2 linked regions of the Elephas maximus indicus genome follow. Each later gene encodes a partner of the first gene's protein in a complex. Links are inferred from orthologs where the notes say so. Each region holds a gene or a part of one and is shown in the gene's direction. Other genes may lie near its edges.

The links.
Region 2: the proteins of PPP2CA (region 1) and PPP2R5D are in contact, whole or in part, in a cryo-EM structure (PDB 8U1X), measured with the Homo sapiens proteins. The link is inferred for Elephas maximus indicus from reciprocal best matches to the Homo sapiens genes PPP2CA and PPP2R5D. Residues at the interface, in NP_002706.1 of Homo sapiens: Arg89, Tyr91, Arg121, Gln122, Ile123, Gln125, Val126, Tyr127, Gly128, Tyr130, Asp131, Leu134, Arg135, Ala140, Trp143, His191, Trp200, Arg214, Ala216, Leu243, Met245, Tyr265, Tyr267, Arg268, Cys269, Arg302, Arg303, Asp306, Tyr307, Leu309; in NP_006236.1 of Homo sapiens: Ile80, Lys82, Asn188, Pro189, Ala192, Glu193, Phe194, Asp195, Glu198, Asp199, Glu200, Ile288, Tyr289, Glu290, Glu292, Lys332, Val333, Lys334, Lys367, Phe368, Trp369, Pro370, Lys371, Thr372, His373, Ser374, Pro375, Lys376, Ser413, Pro414.

What each region holds. Positions count from the first base shown.
Region 1 is NC_064820.1:146,616,280-146,623,842, reverse strand, and holds the start of PPP2CA (serine/threonine-protein phosphatase 2A catalytic subunit alpha isoform), read left to right. Parts: upstream 1-4,469; 5' UTR 4,470-4,818; coding exon 4,819-4,920; intron 4,921-7,563. UniProt on the Homo sapiens protein: Catalytic subunit of protein phosphatase 2A (PP2A), a serine/threonine phosphatase involved in the regulation of a wide variety of enzymes, signal transduction pathways, and cellular events.
Region 2 is NC_064819.1:107,397,368-107,405,335, forward strand, and holds the start of PPP2R5D (serine/threonine-protein phosphatase 2A 56 kDa regulatory subunit delta isoform), read left to right. Parts: upstream 1-4,845; 5' UTR 4,846-4,961; coding exon 4,962-4,988; intron 4,989-7,968. UniProt on the Homo sapiens protein: The B regulatory subunit might modulate substrate selectivity and catalytic activity, and might also direct the localization of the catalytic enzyme to a particular subcellular compartment.

The sequences.
Region 1 (7,563 bases):
TTTTTCCACAAATATAAAAGTAATATGTATTCATTACAGAAGTATCAATAAACAAAAAGAAAATAAAATACAATCCAACACACCAGAAACAGTCACTATTAATACTTTGCTGTGCATTTTTCCATAATCTATAACCATATATTTATAATAGATTCTTAATAAAATTGGGGTTATAGCATACATAATGTTTTAAAGGTACTTTTTTGCTTAACAACATATTGTGAATAATGTCCTATGTCAATAATCACTCTTCTATGATAGAATTTTTAATAGCTGCAGAGTTGGTGACAGTATTCTTAAGTTTACCAGCCTTCTGAAGTGATGAACTTTGCCTTCCACTTCAGAGTTTATTTTTCTGCAACAGAGAAAAAAAAAATTTCCCTCTGAAGATGGCATCTGGGCGAACTGGGCATCATCAGGGTACAAGATCATTTCTCTCTCTTTCTTCTGTAGCCAAACTGCAATAGCTAGGGGGAAGGGCTGCATAATACCAGTGGCAAAGTTCCTAGCCACAGAATTTTAGCCACATTTGTAAAATTCTAATTCCGGGTGAAAGGGAGATATAACCTTAATTTTTCTGAAAACCACAAAGGAAAGGAATAATGATAGATACCAAAAAATTGCAGGCATCGTTGCGTATGATGAATGCAGAAATGTTCTGGTAGTTGGCAGGTCCAGATGGCCAAAACACGGCTGGCTTTTCCTGGGCAGAGCCACTAAGGTGCTGACTGCTCAGGCCTTTATTCTGGGGGCTTCTGGAAGAATAGAAGGCCTCAGTGCAGAGGGCATGTTATCCTTTTCAAATATGGCACCTTTCTCAGATATAAGATTCTGAGCTGACAGGAGCATGACATTCACCAGCTGTATTAGATCTTGGATTTATTCCTAAGTGACTTTCTCTCTATACAAGCTTTTTGAATGTCTGCTTGATGGTAAAGGGAGAGTAGGGGTGTGCTTTTTGCTCCATCTCCAACTCTTTTCCCTTTAAGCTCCTCCGCCATCCCCACTTCAGCCTATAGCCTTGTCTCTATATGATGTTTTTGATATCCTTATCTTCTATGCAAGGAGTGTGTGGCGCAAGCAGTTTATAATCGGTTGCTAACCTAAGAGTTGGTTGTTCAAACTCACCCAGCAGCTCTGGAGAAGAAAGGCCTGGCAAACTGCTTCCATAAAAATTAAACCAAACAAACAAAAACCAAACCCACTGCCAGTGAGTCGATTCTGACTCACTATGAGTTCATAAAGATTACAGCCAAGAAAACCTTATGGGACAGTTCTACTCTGTAACACATGGGGTTGCCATGAGTTGGGGCCAACTCAGCGGCAGCTAACAAAAACATGTTCTGTTCACTGTGTAAAAAACAGACACTGAGGGGCTCCAATCAGAGACGACTTGGAGATAATAATATCTAATACTTATTTGGACATTTATTATATACTGTGTTGGTGTTTTACAGGCACAATTTCATTTAATTCTCAGCAGAATCCTATTATTTGGCTACTACAGTTATCCCCACTTTGTAGATGAGAGAAACTGAAATTCAGAAAAAGTTAGGTGACTTGCAAAGGTCACACAGCTGGGAAGGTGGGAACCAGAATTCAAACCTACGTCCATCCGACCCCAGTGCCTTTTCTTACCTACACTGATCTACTTTCTGTCTCGGTAAGTTTAGAAATCAGGGAGCTGGAAAGAACAACAAAATAAAGCTAACGAAAGGCCAAGAGAATTGCTTAGAAATAAGATACATCTTGTTCCTTCTCCATGTTTAATATAAATTTTTATATCTTGGCTGAGAGTACCTATTATAAAACTAGTTGCTCAAGGTTATCCTCCCCCTACCCAGCCCCATCATCAGATGATTTTTATTTATAGCTATGTTTAAAACATCATAGGCAACACTCAGACTCGATGTATACTGAATTTGCCATCTGAGCAGAGATTCTTTCTCCAAGCATATTTGCTTTATTCCCTTTCTGGTTTTTGCCAAGTAAGTAAAAGAACAATTCTTTTTTGGTTTTCTTTAAATTTTTGTTTCAAGTATTCCTCAGCTCTAGAATTCAGTCAGTAAATTCACATTAGTTAAGACCAGATTATTTAAGCTGAATTGTCAAATCCATTGGTTATTTTGAGTGCTACAGAGTAAGAAAACATTCCAGATTTCTTCTAAAGGAAAAAATGTTCCTTTCTTTTAAAGGAAAAGATATTTGGTTTACTTTAGTTCTGTATTGTTTATAATCATGTATGCTTTACTTCACTGCCTGAATGCTAATGAGAGCTTCCTAGAATTCATTCCTTAAGAAGTTAAGTCATGGCATCTAATTATTTGGCAGGATGTTTTAAGTACATATAATTATATCTTCTCTCCATTTCGTGGTGGTGGTGAGCCAAGTCATCTGCATCAAGAGAAAATAACACTTCCATTAATACTTCCACTAAGGAGCTCAAAGTGCTTTGGAAAAACTCATCATGACCTTAGTACATAGTGAGTGCTCAATACTTATTAATCTATCAAACTAATATCACCACCACCTTTCTAGGTAGAAAACCCAAGCAAAGGAAAATTAGATTGATCCCATTCCATATTTCAGTCCTTGGAAGGTCAGTTGTATAACTGTGACCAAGACCTTGCACTTGGTAGAATCAAGTTTTAAATCCTGGCCACTACCTTGGGCAAATCCCTTCTCTTTTCTGAGTGCCCAACTGCTTCTTGACCTATTATACAGGACTAGTTCTCCCACAAGTACGGGGCAGGGGTAAATAATAAGATGAGACGGCACACTGGGTATGGCTTTATAATCATTCCACATGGCCTTAATTTGTTCCTCTATTATTTTGGGATGTTAACTGCAAAACAGGGTCAGAATTTGAACTAAAAGAGCTTTTTTTCCAGCCTGGTAAATTAAGTATGTGATAAGCCTTCTGGGGAATAGATCTGAGGGACTTTCTTTCGGGCGCGCTGGCGGGGGATAGGGAGGTAGGAAGGGAGAGCAGAATTGCTATCTCCAGTTGGGGGAGGCCAAGCCAGCGGGCCTCGTCAAGCAGGTTGTCTTGGACGACGGCGGATTTTCAGTCCTGCCATTAATGGAAACCCTGCTGGCATAGTGATTAAGTGCTACGGCTGCTGAGAGGCTGGCAGTTCAAATCCGCCAGGCGCTCCTTGGAAACTCTATGCGGCAGTTCTACTCTGTCCTATAAGGTAGCTATGAGTCGGAATCGACTCGATGGCAATGGGTTTTTTTTGGTTTATTAGCTGATAAGGCCTCCAGGGCCTTCTTCAGCCTATTGGTCAAGATGAGGCCCTCTGAGACACAGAGCTAGCGTTCTGCCCAACTACATCGTTTAGCCAGGTCCACTGCAATTGGGGCTAGGGGTCTAGAAGACACGAGACCAGGCTCAGCCCTTGCCTTGTCCTTTATGGTTGAATGCCCTTCGAAAAGCTTCTACCTCTCAGATCCTGGAAGCATCATAAACGCTCTTCTGCTTATCCCCAAACCAATTTAAGCTAATACTATTGGAAGAATGTGACCTTCTCTAACAAAGGGTACCTTCTGTTTGAATGACCCCTCTATTTCCAGGCATGGTATCTGGCACTCTACGTAGAGTTAGTGCTCTGTGGAATATGAAAACGTTTTCGCAAACACCAGAGATTCATAAACTAGACAGAGGTCCGATTCTATGGTATTGGAGTTTGCTTTAAAATGCGAATCACAGCTGCTTCTACCACCACTGGGACACGGTCAGGACCGGTGTGTCCCTCTAGAAAGGAGGCCAGGCAGGCAGCGGCTGGGGTCTCTCATTACCGGGGAAACTGGAGTCGGAGGAGGAGGCACACCTGGAGCAGGCGACAACAGGAAAGGCCGTGCGAGAGCGAGAGAAGCCCCAAGCCTTAGCCTCCATCACTGCGCCCAACGAGTGCCCGGGCCCAGGGACAGGTGTGTGGCGGAAGTCAGGTGCTTTCCGCAGGTACACTCTCCTCCGCCCACGTGTGACCTAATTACAAGGGGTGAGCCGCGCCCAGGGGCGGGGTGGTCACTCCAACCAGGGTGCCAGTGAGTGGGTGCCCTGTCCCTGCCCCCAGAGATGTGTGAATCCCACGCAATTCCAGTGCTGTTGAACCATGGAGGAGCCATGGGGTCGCCTTCTCGTTTCCATGATCTGGATCCCAATCCCCAGGTGAAGAACTAACACGTTTTACCAGGCCTCCCCAAGTGAAAAGTCTCAGCTAGGAAGCCCCCTTCTACGAGGACTGCGCCTGCGCGAAGCTCGCGCGGGCGTCTCGTAGGGCGTAGCGTTCGGAGATAATCCCGATTCACAGCTGCAGGCACAGCGCTTGCGCGGATTCGGTTTTTTTTTATCCCACCACCCCGCGAGCCTTCCCTTCTGGGAGACCACGCCCTAAAAGAGAAGGTGCGTCAGTTACTAGCCGGCTAGAATGCGCCTGCGCGTTGGCTCCTAGTTTCCGTCCCCTCTGACTCGGTTCTTGCGGTAGACCAGGATCTGATCTGCAGTTGCGCCGCTCGTGTCCCGGCGCTTTTTTTCTTCCGCACCCGCCGCCTTCTGACGCCGGGCGTGACGTCACCACGCCGGGCGGCCGCCATTACAGAGAGCCGAGCTCCGGAGCTAGAGCCAGCGGAGGAGGAGCAGCGGCCGGTGGCCGAGCATTGCGGGGCCACCCAGTGGGCCAGCGCTAGCGCCGAGCAACCGCCAGTAGCCACAGTAGTACTCCGGCAACCGGCGGCGGCGTGTGCGTGTGGCCCGTGTGCGGGCGGCGGCGCGGGAGTAGGGCGGAGAGGCAGCCGGTTCGGGCGGGTGGCATCATGGACGAGAAGGTGTTCACCAAGGAGCTAGACCAGTGGATCGAGCAGCTGAACGAGTGCAAGCAGCTGTCCGAGTCCCAGGTCAAGAGCCTCTGCGAGAAGGTGAGCTGCACTCCAGCTGCGGGTGCTGCCGCGGGGCCGATCTTGCCAAGAAGGGGTGCCTGTGGGGAGGGTGCAACATGGCGGAGGCCGCCGGCCAGAGCCCCCCGAGCCTCCCAGTCCGGCGCCCGGCGCGGCCCGGCGGCGGCTCCCGAGCGACCCGGCGCCCCCTGTCTCTCGCTGAAGGATTGGTTGTCGCCGCCGCCGCCTAAAATGGCGCCGTTCCCCCGACTCAGGGGGTTCTGAGGCTCCGGCCCTCGGCGCCGGGCGGGGTGGCAGGGGGAGCGGAGACCCTGTATATCAGGGTCAGGGACGGTGTTGAGATTCAGGTAAAGGGACTTGGGTTCTGCAGCCCGGGAATGGGGCCTAGGCCTCCACTGTGAGGTGGGTAAGCTGCTTTTTACTTGTGTTCAGGCATAATTTTTAGATTCAGCGTTGTGCAGAGAGTCCCCAAAGGCAAGCAAGTAGGCCAGATCCCAGAACCTGTCTAAAGGTCATAGAGCTTTAGCACTATCCTGGGTGGTTTGTATTAAACATCTTATACATAAGTCTCTAACCCAGTTTCTGCGAAGGTCACGGTAGTTATGAGGAGGAGTAACTAATTCTTCATAGTTGGAAAAAATGGAGAATTTGGTGAGTCACACTGCATAAGGAGCTATTGAATTGGAAATCAAGTGTCGGCTTAATTTATGATTTATACGCTGATTCAAATTGGGTAGTGTGAACCCTTTCCTAAGCTGAACATACTTGCTGTTTTGCCATTTGTTTTTTAAAATGATGAACTGGAAGGACGGCAAGTTTTATATCCTGGGTCTTTTTTGAAAAAGTTACTTAATTGTATTTCTGTGGCTGCAAGTAGTAGTAGTAGTAATGATAGCTGTTGATAGAGTTCATTCCAGACAGTGTATTGCAGACACTGCTTAGTGTGTAAATAAATAATTTCACAGATGTTGAAAGTGAAATGTCATAGCCCACTTAATAACGCTAAACTTTAATTTTGTACTAATTCTAGTTTTTCCTTGGGTGTTGGTGAAACAGGTAGCTTAATAGATTATCTATTACTTGTTCAGCTGTGTTGTATTTCTTAGAACCCCGTTTTCTAATGTATAGAAAATGCTGATCTCTATGAACATTTTAACTTCCCTTTTCAAAATTACCTTTGCAGCATTTCATTTTAATATAAAATAGTGCGATATCATGTTAGTATGTTGTGTTAGTGAAAAGAGTTACAGGAGAGCTGTTACGCTGACTCGTTTGTGGTTTAATGTGAAAATCAGGATTATGAATTTGATGCATATGCTCCCGAGACGGACTTTTTAAGAAGCTGCTGTGAATAATAGGAATTTAAGTGAGTCAAATTCAGATTTATTTATCCCAAGTCTGGGCAAAACTCCACTACCAGTTGATGAGGTGGCACATCATCTATTGGAGCTGAATTTTAATGGATAGCAGTGTACTGAATCTTTTCTTTCTTGACCCTTAATTTTAAAGTTCTTCAATTAGATAAGGTTGGTATGTATTTCAAAGGTTTAAAGATTAGGCTGTTAAAAACTTAGAATATATTGCCAAGGGCTTAATTTCTAGGTACTATAAATAATCATTTTATGGAGTTTTAGGGTTCAGTACTTGCTCTGTATAAAGACTTTGCTAGACGACTAGTCATTTGTGTAGAAAACATTGGAGAGAGGTAATGATGTAATTGAAAGGCCACTGAGCTGCGAGTTAGACCTGGATACTAGTCCTGTTTCTGCCACAGAATTAGTAGTTGTGACTGAACTTGGAGCAATTACATCACTTGGTCCTCATTTTCCTTTGTATAAGGAGTTAAAACAAATGTTCTAAGGTCACTTCTAATCTTGCAAGATTATACAATTTCATCATAAATTAGTACTTTGTGTTTAAGTATTGGAGATCTGTTGACTATCCAGGATTGCTTACTCTTATGCGGGGAGTGAAAAGCAACAAAGAATAACAAAGCCTGTTTTCAAGGAGCTTTGAATTCAGTTGGAGAGACAAGCATGGCATGGTAGTCAGTAAGGAGGTGGACTGTGGAAGTAGAGAGTTTGTGTTGGAGACTAAAGTGGGGTGGTAAATGTTGTTTTCCACATCTTTGTAAAACTAAGGTATAGTGAGGCTAATCACTTATTCTCAGATCTGCATTGCTCAGTCAGCATGTTTAGGTTTGAGTTCTGACAGCCAAAAAGATGAACGTAGTATTTGAAGTTAGGTATTACATAAAGGTTCCAATGGAATGGATCCTTTTTGTGGGGGAGTATCATAACATAGTTGTCATTCTGATGTTAGCTTGTAAATACACCAAATTTTTTGGAACTATATTAACCTTCCAAAGTAAATTATTTGAAGACAGCTTTTTAGATATGTGGGATGTGTTAGGATGCATGACTTGAAATGGTCTTCTCTGTAATCTAGTGAAACAAAAGTTCTCTTTTCACTGTTAGTATTTGTATGTCCAGTAGCACCACTGAGTGAAAACTATATGATACTCTTCGATGTGGTGGCTTCTGAGTAGAAATTGTACAAATTTTTGAGAGTTTAATTTTTTTCCATTATAGTAATAGTTTTTTTAAGATACTTGTTAGAGATAAACCAATAAAACCCATTGCCTTTGAGTCATTTCAACAGATT
Region 2 (7,968 bases), on another chromosome or scaffold:
GAGAGGTCAGGAGGTGCTCCAATGGCAGGCATCTCTGCGGTTACGTAACATTTACGCCTGCGCTCTTTGAGCCTGTGCTTGCAGGCGTCTTGTAGGCAAGAAAGGTTCTCTCTGTTAACTGGCATGCATTTGACAGTTTATTGACTGACCACTGAACAGTCAGCGTGCCCTGGAGCGACTGGGCCCAGTGCTGGGGGCTGTGTTTAGGAAAGAATCGACTCCTCCCTCTGTGGAGCTGTAGGAACTGAGGTTTCGGGTTGTGGGGAGGGTAGCAGGAGAGTGGTAGGATTATAAAACCCTGTGTTAGACGTGCTTGTGGATATGTAGTGGCTGCTGACTGAATTACTACATGTGATTCATGTAGCCCTGGAGTGCTTGGTGCGGCCACACCTGTTCCAACACATCCTACACAAAACCCATGTTCCAACACGTCTTGTCCTGTTCGTTCTACACCCACCAAACTGGGAGCGAAGACAAAGCAGCTTCGGTCTTACATCTTTCCAAATCCGGTTACTCTCCCCTTACCAATACTTACAAACCGGAGACCCATTCCCTAACCTCTAGGAGACCCTAGAGGAGGGCGTCGTTGCTTCCATAATCAGCACCAATACAACAGCCTGCTTCCCACCTGTGGTGTTACCGAGATTGCACCCTTGTCTCCACCCGCACTGATTTGTAGGCCACACATTTCCAATTATTAACAATACGTTTGCACCCAGAGTCAGTGGATTGGAATGGTGGTAATCTACTCTTTGGACCTTGCCTCTCTTCTAGCTCTGCCCAACTTTCTGCTTTCCTTCACAATTGAACATCTTCTACTTCGTAGTTATGCGTTCCTGAAAATATTTTTGAAACTCAAGTATTTGAAAATTGAATATTAGATTTGCATGTTATGAGAGATTTCTATCCACAGATTGACAGGAAATCATCAATTGTCTGATTATATTTCCTGGAAGTACCTCCAGTCCTAAACCTGAAAGAGCCCAGACACACTTCTTCGAAACAGCATGCAAGAACGTGTTAGATACCTGGATTCACATGGATGAAAGTTCTCATTTGGTGGTACTGAACGGTATGTCTGAAGAAGACTGAAGAAGATTTGATGCCTTTGAATTATGGTGTTGACAAAGAATATTGAATATATGGTGGACTGCCAGAAGAACAAATAAATCTGTCTTGGGAGAAGTACAGCTAGAATGCTCCTTAAGAAGCGAGGGTGGCAAGGCTTCGTCTCACGTACTTTGGACATGTTATCAAGAGGGACCAGTCCCTGGAGAAGAACATCATGCTTGGTAAAGTACAGATGAATTGACATAGTGGCTGCAACAATGGGCTCAAATGTAGCAACGATTGTGAGGATGGTGCAGGACTGGTCAGTGTTTCATTCTGTTGTACATAGGATCACTATGAGTCAGAAGTGACTTGACAACACCTAACAACAAACTATATGTGGCTCTGTCCCCTGCCTCCCAGAGGGACCAAGGACTGGGAGGGCAGTGGATAGGCCCAAAAGAATATATCTGCTTTATACAGTAGCAGGCAAGCTCTAGGCCTTAGGACTGTAGTGTTCCTTGGGACCTTAAAAAAAAGGGAAGGATAAATACATCTGGTATCCTGCCTGGAAGGTCCCCGGGTGGCGTAACCAGTTCACACTGGTCTACTAATCTAAAGGTTGGTGGTTTGAACCCACCCATCAAGATCACAGAAGAAAGGCTTGGCAATCTGCTTTTGTAAAGATTTTTTGTTGTTGTTAGGTGTCCTCAAGTCGGTTCTTTCTCATAGTGACCCTATGTATAACAGAATGAAACACTGCCTGGTCCTGCACCATCCTCACAATTGTTGTTACGTTTGAGCCCACTGTTGCACCCACTGTGTCAATCCATCTCATTGAAGGTCTTCCTCTTTTTCGCTGACCAAGCATGATGTTCTTCTCCAGGAACTGGTCCCTCCTGATAACAAGTCTTGTCACCCTCACTTCTAAGGTACATTCTGGCTGTACTTCGTCCAAGACAGATTTGTTCGTGCTGGCAGTCCATGGTATATCCAATATTCTTTGCCAATACCATATTTCAAAGGCATCAGTTCTTCTTTGGTCTTCCTTATTTATTCTCCAGCTTCTGCATACATATGAGACGATTAAAAATATCATTGCTTGGGTCAGGCGCACCTTAGTCCTCAATGTGACATCTTTGTTTCTCAACACTTTAAAGAGGTCTTTTGCAGCAGATTTTCCCAATGCAACATGTCTTCTGATTTCTTGACCGCTGTTTCCATGGGTGTTGATTGTGGATCCAAGTAAAATGAAATCCTTGACAACTTCAATATTTTCTCCATTTATCATGATGTTGTTTATTGGTCCAGTTGTGAAGATTTTTGTTTTCTCTATGTTGAGGCATAATCCATACTGAAGGGTGTAGTCTTTGATTTTCATCAGTAAGTGCTTCAAGTAAAGATTACAGTCAAGAAAACCCTATGGAACAGTTCTACTCTGCAACATATGGGGTTGTCACGAGTTGGAATCGACTTGATGACAATGGGTTTTACCCTGCCTGGGGTTGGAACCCATATGGACACAAATGACCAGTTGCTGTCTAGTGGACTCTGATTCATGGCAACCCCACGTGTGAGAATAGAACTGTGCTCCATAGGGTTTTCCATGCCTGATTTTTCAGAAGTAGATCACCAGGCCTTCCAAGGTGCCTTTGAGTGGACTCAAAACTTCCAACCTTTTGAGAGTGGGTGTTAATTGTTTGCACCACCCGGGACTCCACAGACACAAATACCCAGGAAATAAATGTCATTTCCTTTCAGGATTTTCTCCTTGTAAATAATGACTGGCATCCAGTTCACTTTGTGTTACCTGGAAATTATCATTAGTCACTGAAAGCCCAATACAATTTCTATAAGATAGCCAGTAGCCTAAATTTGCTATGATCACATCCTTACCTCTTGCTCACCCCTCAACCTACTACAACTTCCTTGCCACTCCTGAGACTTCCTTGGCAGAGATCACCAGTAACTTCCTAACTACAGAATCCGGGGATGCTGTTTGATCTTTATCTTACTTGACCTTTCTCTGGAATCTGACGCTATTGAACAATTCTCCTTTCCAGAAACACTTTACTTCCCTTGCCTTGTGACAGTTTTCTTCCTAACATCTCTGACCACTTCCCAGTTATCCTCAACTCCTCCCTTTCCCTTCCCATCTCCCCAGAATCCAATGAGTCACTAAATCCCATTGATTACACACATTTCCCAATTCCATCCTCCCTTCTTCATCCTCATGGCCACCGTTTTATAACATTTTTCTCCTGGGCAAGGTCCACGGGCTTACTTTTGGGGAGCCTTCTCCAGTTCCTTCATGTAGCCAATCTGCTTCTGGAGTAGCCTTTCTGAAACATACCCTTCTGTGTAGTCTCTCCATTTCTGTTGCCTTGGAGTCGATTCTGACTATGGGACAGAGTAGAACTGCCCCATAGGGTTTCCAAGGCTGTAATGTTTACAGAAGCAGACTGCCACATTTTTCTACCATGGAGTGGCTGTTGAGTTCATACGGCCAAAATTTTGGTTTGCAGCTGAACACTTAACCACTGTGCCACCAAGGCTCCTTATGTAGTCTTTAGGTTTGTGTAATTTATCACATTGTATCTTAATCATCACAGGTCCCTGGGTGGTGCAAGCAGTTTTGCTATCTGCTGCTAACTGATGGTTCAAACACACCCAGAAGAAAGGCCTGGTGATGAGATTCTGGAAAGATTGTTGTTGTTAGGTGCTGTTTAGTCAATTTTCGACTTACAATGACCCCATGTGACCGAGTAGAATTGCCCCATATGTTTTTTAGGCTATAATCTTTACAGAAGCAGATTGTCAGTTCTTTCTCCAGCAGTGTGGCTGGGTAGGTTCGAACCCCCAACCTTTTGGTTAACAGCCAAGCGCTTAACCTGTTGTGCTACCAGGGCTCCTTTACAGTCAAGAAAACCCTAGGGAGCATGGTTCTACTCTGACACCCATGGGGTTGCCATGAGTCAGAACCTACTAGATGGCAACTGATTTGGTTTTGGATCTTAATCATTTGTTTATACAAATCTATGCATTTAACCAGTCTCTGAACCATTTGAGGGCAAGAATTGAGCCTTATCCATTAGGACGTTGGCTTGGGTGGGGTGGGGAGAAGGGATGGATTTTCTGGAGGCACGCAACAATGACGTTACTTTTTCACTGTCTTCCCGACTGCTCAAGTCTAGCCGGTTCCTCAATCCCAGGGCAATGCCAGTAGGAACGGGAACCCTTTTCCCAAAGCTGCAACAAAGCCGGGAGCCTCAGACTTCAGAACCTGAGAAACCCAGGCCCAGGATCTGCCAGGTTTCCCTTTTGCTCCTCTGCAAGTCCAGTCTAGGGAGGTAAATGCCCTCGAGGGCCCTTGGGAGTTCTCTCTAGTGCTACGTTACCCTGATAGAGAAAGGTGCCCTTCATTTTAGGGCTTCTTTCCTTCAATTCGGACTGGGCAGGGTAGCACAGTGAGGAAAAAGAGCCACTTTAGAAGAGAATGAACAGAGAACTCCAAAGACTACAAAGAAAGACCAAGGCCGCTGCAGGAGAGCAGCGCTCCAAGTCAAGCTTGGGTTTCCCTTTACCCCCGCCTCCTTCTCTAAGCTCGACCCACTTAGGGCGGGACCTCTCACTTCAGCCTATTCCGGGAGCTGAACCCTGGCGGTTTGTACTCTTTCTTTCCAATGAGAAAAAAAGGAAGCAGCTTGGCTCCAATGACCAATCCGAGGAGGCGGCGCCGGGTTGTCAGGCAGGTTATAAGGGTTCGGGCCAATTGGAGGCTCAGACAAGGCTCGACCGGGGCGCAGCGCGCAGGCGGAGGCGAAAAGACGCCGGAGCGGGCCGAGTGCGGCCGAGCAAAGCCGGAGCCGGAGCGGGACCGCAGGAGCCGGGCCGGGTCCGGACCGCCCGAGATGCCCTACAAACTGAAGAAGGAGAAGGTGAGCCTGGCCCCTTCCCCCGCACCTCCGCCCCGGGGCCTGCGCGGAGCTCTGGGAGGGGCCCGAGCCAGGCCCGGGACAGCCCCAGACTGACCCTCCCGTCCGGCCCTCGCAGGACTCTAGGGCCAGCTCTCCGCCCCCGCGGCGGGTAGCACCCCGAGCCTGTGCCGCAGCTGGGATAACTCCCCCACCTTGCCCGGGACAGATTGCACCCCACATACACCCCTCTCTCTCCCCCTCACTCTCCTGCCCCCGGCCTAGAGTAACCTCCTCCCTCCAGATCTGTCCCATTCCCAGGTCACTCCCCTACTTCCCTCCGTCCTCCTGCTCCCGCATCGCCCCTTCCTCCCAGCCCCTCAGCCCGTTTGGGACAGCCTTCCTCATCTGAGACAGCGCCTCCCTCTAGAACTGCCCCTCTCCCCCCTGCGCAGCCCCTTCCCTCCTCTTCCCACCAGCCAGGGACCGCCTTCTCTCCCATCCCCTACAGCCTTTTCTCTGTCGTTGCGCCCAGCCCCCTGACCTAGGACTGTGCTGCTTTCTCTCTCCTCCACCCAAATCTGGGCTAGGCCCCTCCCTCCAGTTCTTCCTTCACACACAAACTTGTACGCCAGGACGGAGCCCTGCCTTCTGTTGATGGAACCTCAGAACGTCAGGGCAGGAAGGGACCTTTGAACGCATGCAGTCCAACCTCTGGTGGTACATATGAGGAGACTGAGGCCCAGACAGGGCAAGAGACTTGTCCAAGGTCACATAACCTGCTGGAGGCAGAGCTGCAATATCGGGTCTCCTGACTTCAAGGCCTCTTCTGTACCAAAGCTAAGAGGGCTGACAGGCATCATCACCTTCCTCCCAGGTTCATCCTAGATCAGTCACTATCCTTAACCTGAGCAGGCTCCTCCCCTTATTCCTAATCCTAGAATAACCTTTGCATTTTTTTCCTTTTTGCACCAGTGCTTGCTTTTTGTCTTTCTGGGCTGCACGATCTGATCCTCAAATGGGGAATCTGCCCTCTCTGTCAGATTAGTTTTCCTTCTCACCCCACAAGCCAGCCAACCCTGGGCACCCATACCTTTCTCATGGTGTCCTGACACAAGCCCATTCTTGATGTGCCTTCTTTCACCTTCCCAGTCTATCTCCATACTGCCTTCCCCTGTTCCTTATCCCTGCCTTTTTCTACTCTCTCTTTCCTGCTGTTGCTGAGGTCTGACTCAGAGGTGTGGTTCCTTTGAGGTACAGACTCACACAGAGGATGCTAGGATACCAGTTTCAGCCTCCTCCAGCTTCTTTCCTGGGGCTGGCCCCCTCAGGGTGTGGGCTGGCGCTGACCTGGTGTTGTGCCCACCAGTGTTGTGACCCTAGAGGTGTATTGCTTTCATTTGCCCTTTGATTGGCTGGGTTGCTGGGCCGCCATCTCTGACCTTATCCATCAAACCCTTTATCCTGGGGCTGTTGGAGATTTGCTGGGCAGCTCTGTTTCTGGGTTGTCCCCATAACCCCTCAGGGCCTAAGGCTCTGAGTGTAGGGTTGTATACTCAGTGGTGATGGTATACTGGGTACTGAACCTCCTGGGGTGCTAGGCAGGCAGGGTGGTGTACCCCACCCAGGCACTGCCCGTGGGGGGTGGGCATGCCAAGATGGCAGCTTAGCTGTAGTCGATGCACACCCACGTCAGCCACACCGGGTTCTAAGGGGGTCCTTTAAGGAGTGGGGCGAGGGGCGGAATTCAGGGGCAGTAGGCGAGGTCTCCACCCATCTGTAGCTTTTAGTCTGATGGAATAGATACTGTCCCATCCACAGTAAGCCTTTGCCTACTAGATGATTGAGAAGAACAAAAATACGTAATTAGTCTTGTGAGGACCTTAGGTGTAAAGTATTTGGTTGGGAAGGGTTGTTGGGACTGGGGTGCATAGAGCCAGGCATAACTGTGACCCCCTTTCAGGTTTTAATTTTCTGTTTTTGATTTTTGGTTGCATTTGGTATTCAGGGGTTGGCAAGTCCGGCGGGGGCGGGCGGGGGGAGGAGTTGATAGTGTGACTGAGATTTGCCTAGATGGAATGAGGGTAGAGGGTGTGGGTGGGTAAGTGGAGAATCTTCATTGCTCATCCCACCTCTCCCCTTTCTCCTTCATCTCTGCTGGTCCCAGGCCTGGCCATTCTTCACGGCCTTCTCCCTGAAGCCTTGCTTGAGCCCTTAGTTGAGAGTGAGGTCTCCCACCTCCCCTGGATTTGTAGAACACTTGGTAGGCCATTTATGGCCCTTTTAGGTTCAGCTTTGAATCCGAATTAATTGTGGATGAGTCATTTCTTCCCCCTTGAGATGATAACTAAGCTCCACCTCGTACACAGTAGGTCCTTCCCTTCCCATGTGTACTGACCTGGGACTGGACTTAGGTCTTTTAGGTTCCTGGGTCAGGTGCTTCCTCTCCCTTTCACTTTCTTCTTGTTCATAATAATAGTAATAATAGTTCATAATAATAGTGACCAGTGTTTAGGATTTTCATTTGCTAGACACTGTGCCAAGGGAAGCGGGTACTAAGACTGTCGTTGTTTAATAAATGAGGAAACTGAGGCTCCGAGAGGTTAGATAACTTGCCTATAATTATATAGCTAGTAAGAGTTGGGCCTGGAACACAAAGTCATTCTTTTCACCATGTGCTGTGAGCACCTGACTGCTGGCTGGGCAGAAGTGTGTGCACACCTGTTCTGCAGGAGCCAGGGAACAAGGGTGATGGGCCCAGTTCCCCCCAAGAGCACACACCCACACATACCCCGCAACACACACACAAAGGCAGCTGGGATCTCTCTTAGGTGCATTCCCTGAGGGGTATGTCTGAGGTGTTGTGCTAAGGGCTATGGGATTGGTGCAGGGGTACAAAAAAGGATAAGCAGCTTATAATCAAGTAGATCAGGCATGTATGAAGAAGGGTCAGTTCTGTCCGAGGGGCCCAAGTTTGGGGTGTGTACAGAGTCACCTCAGTGTC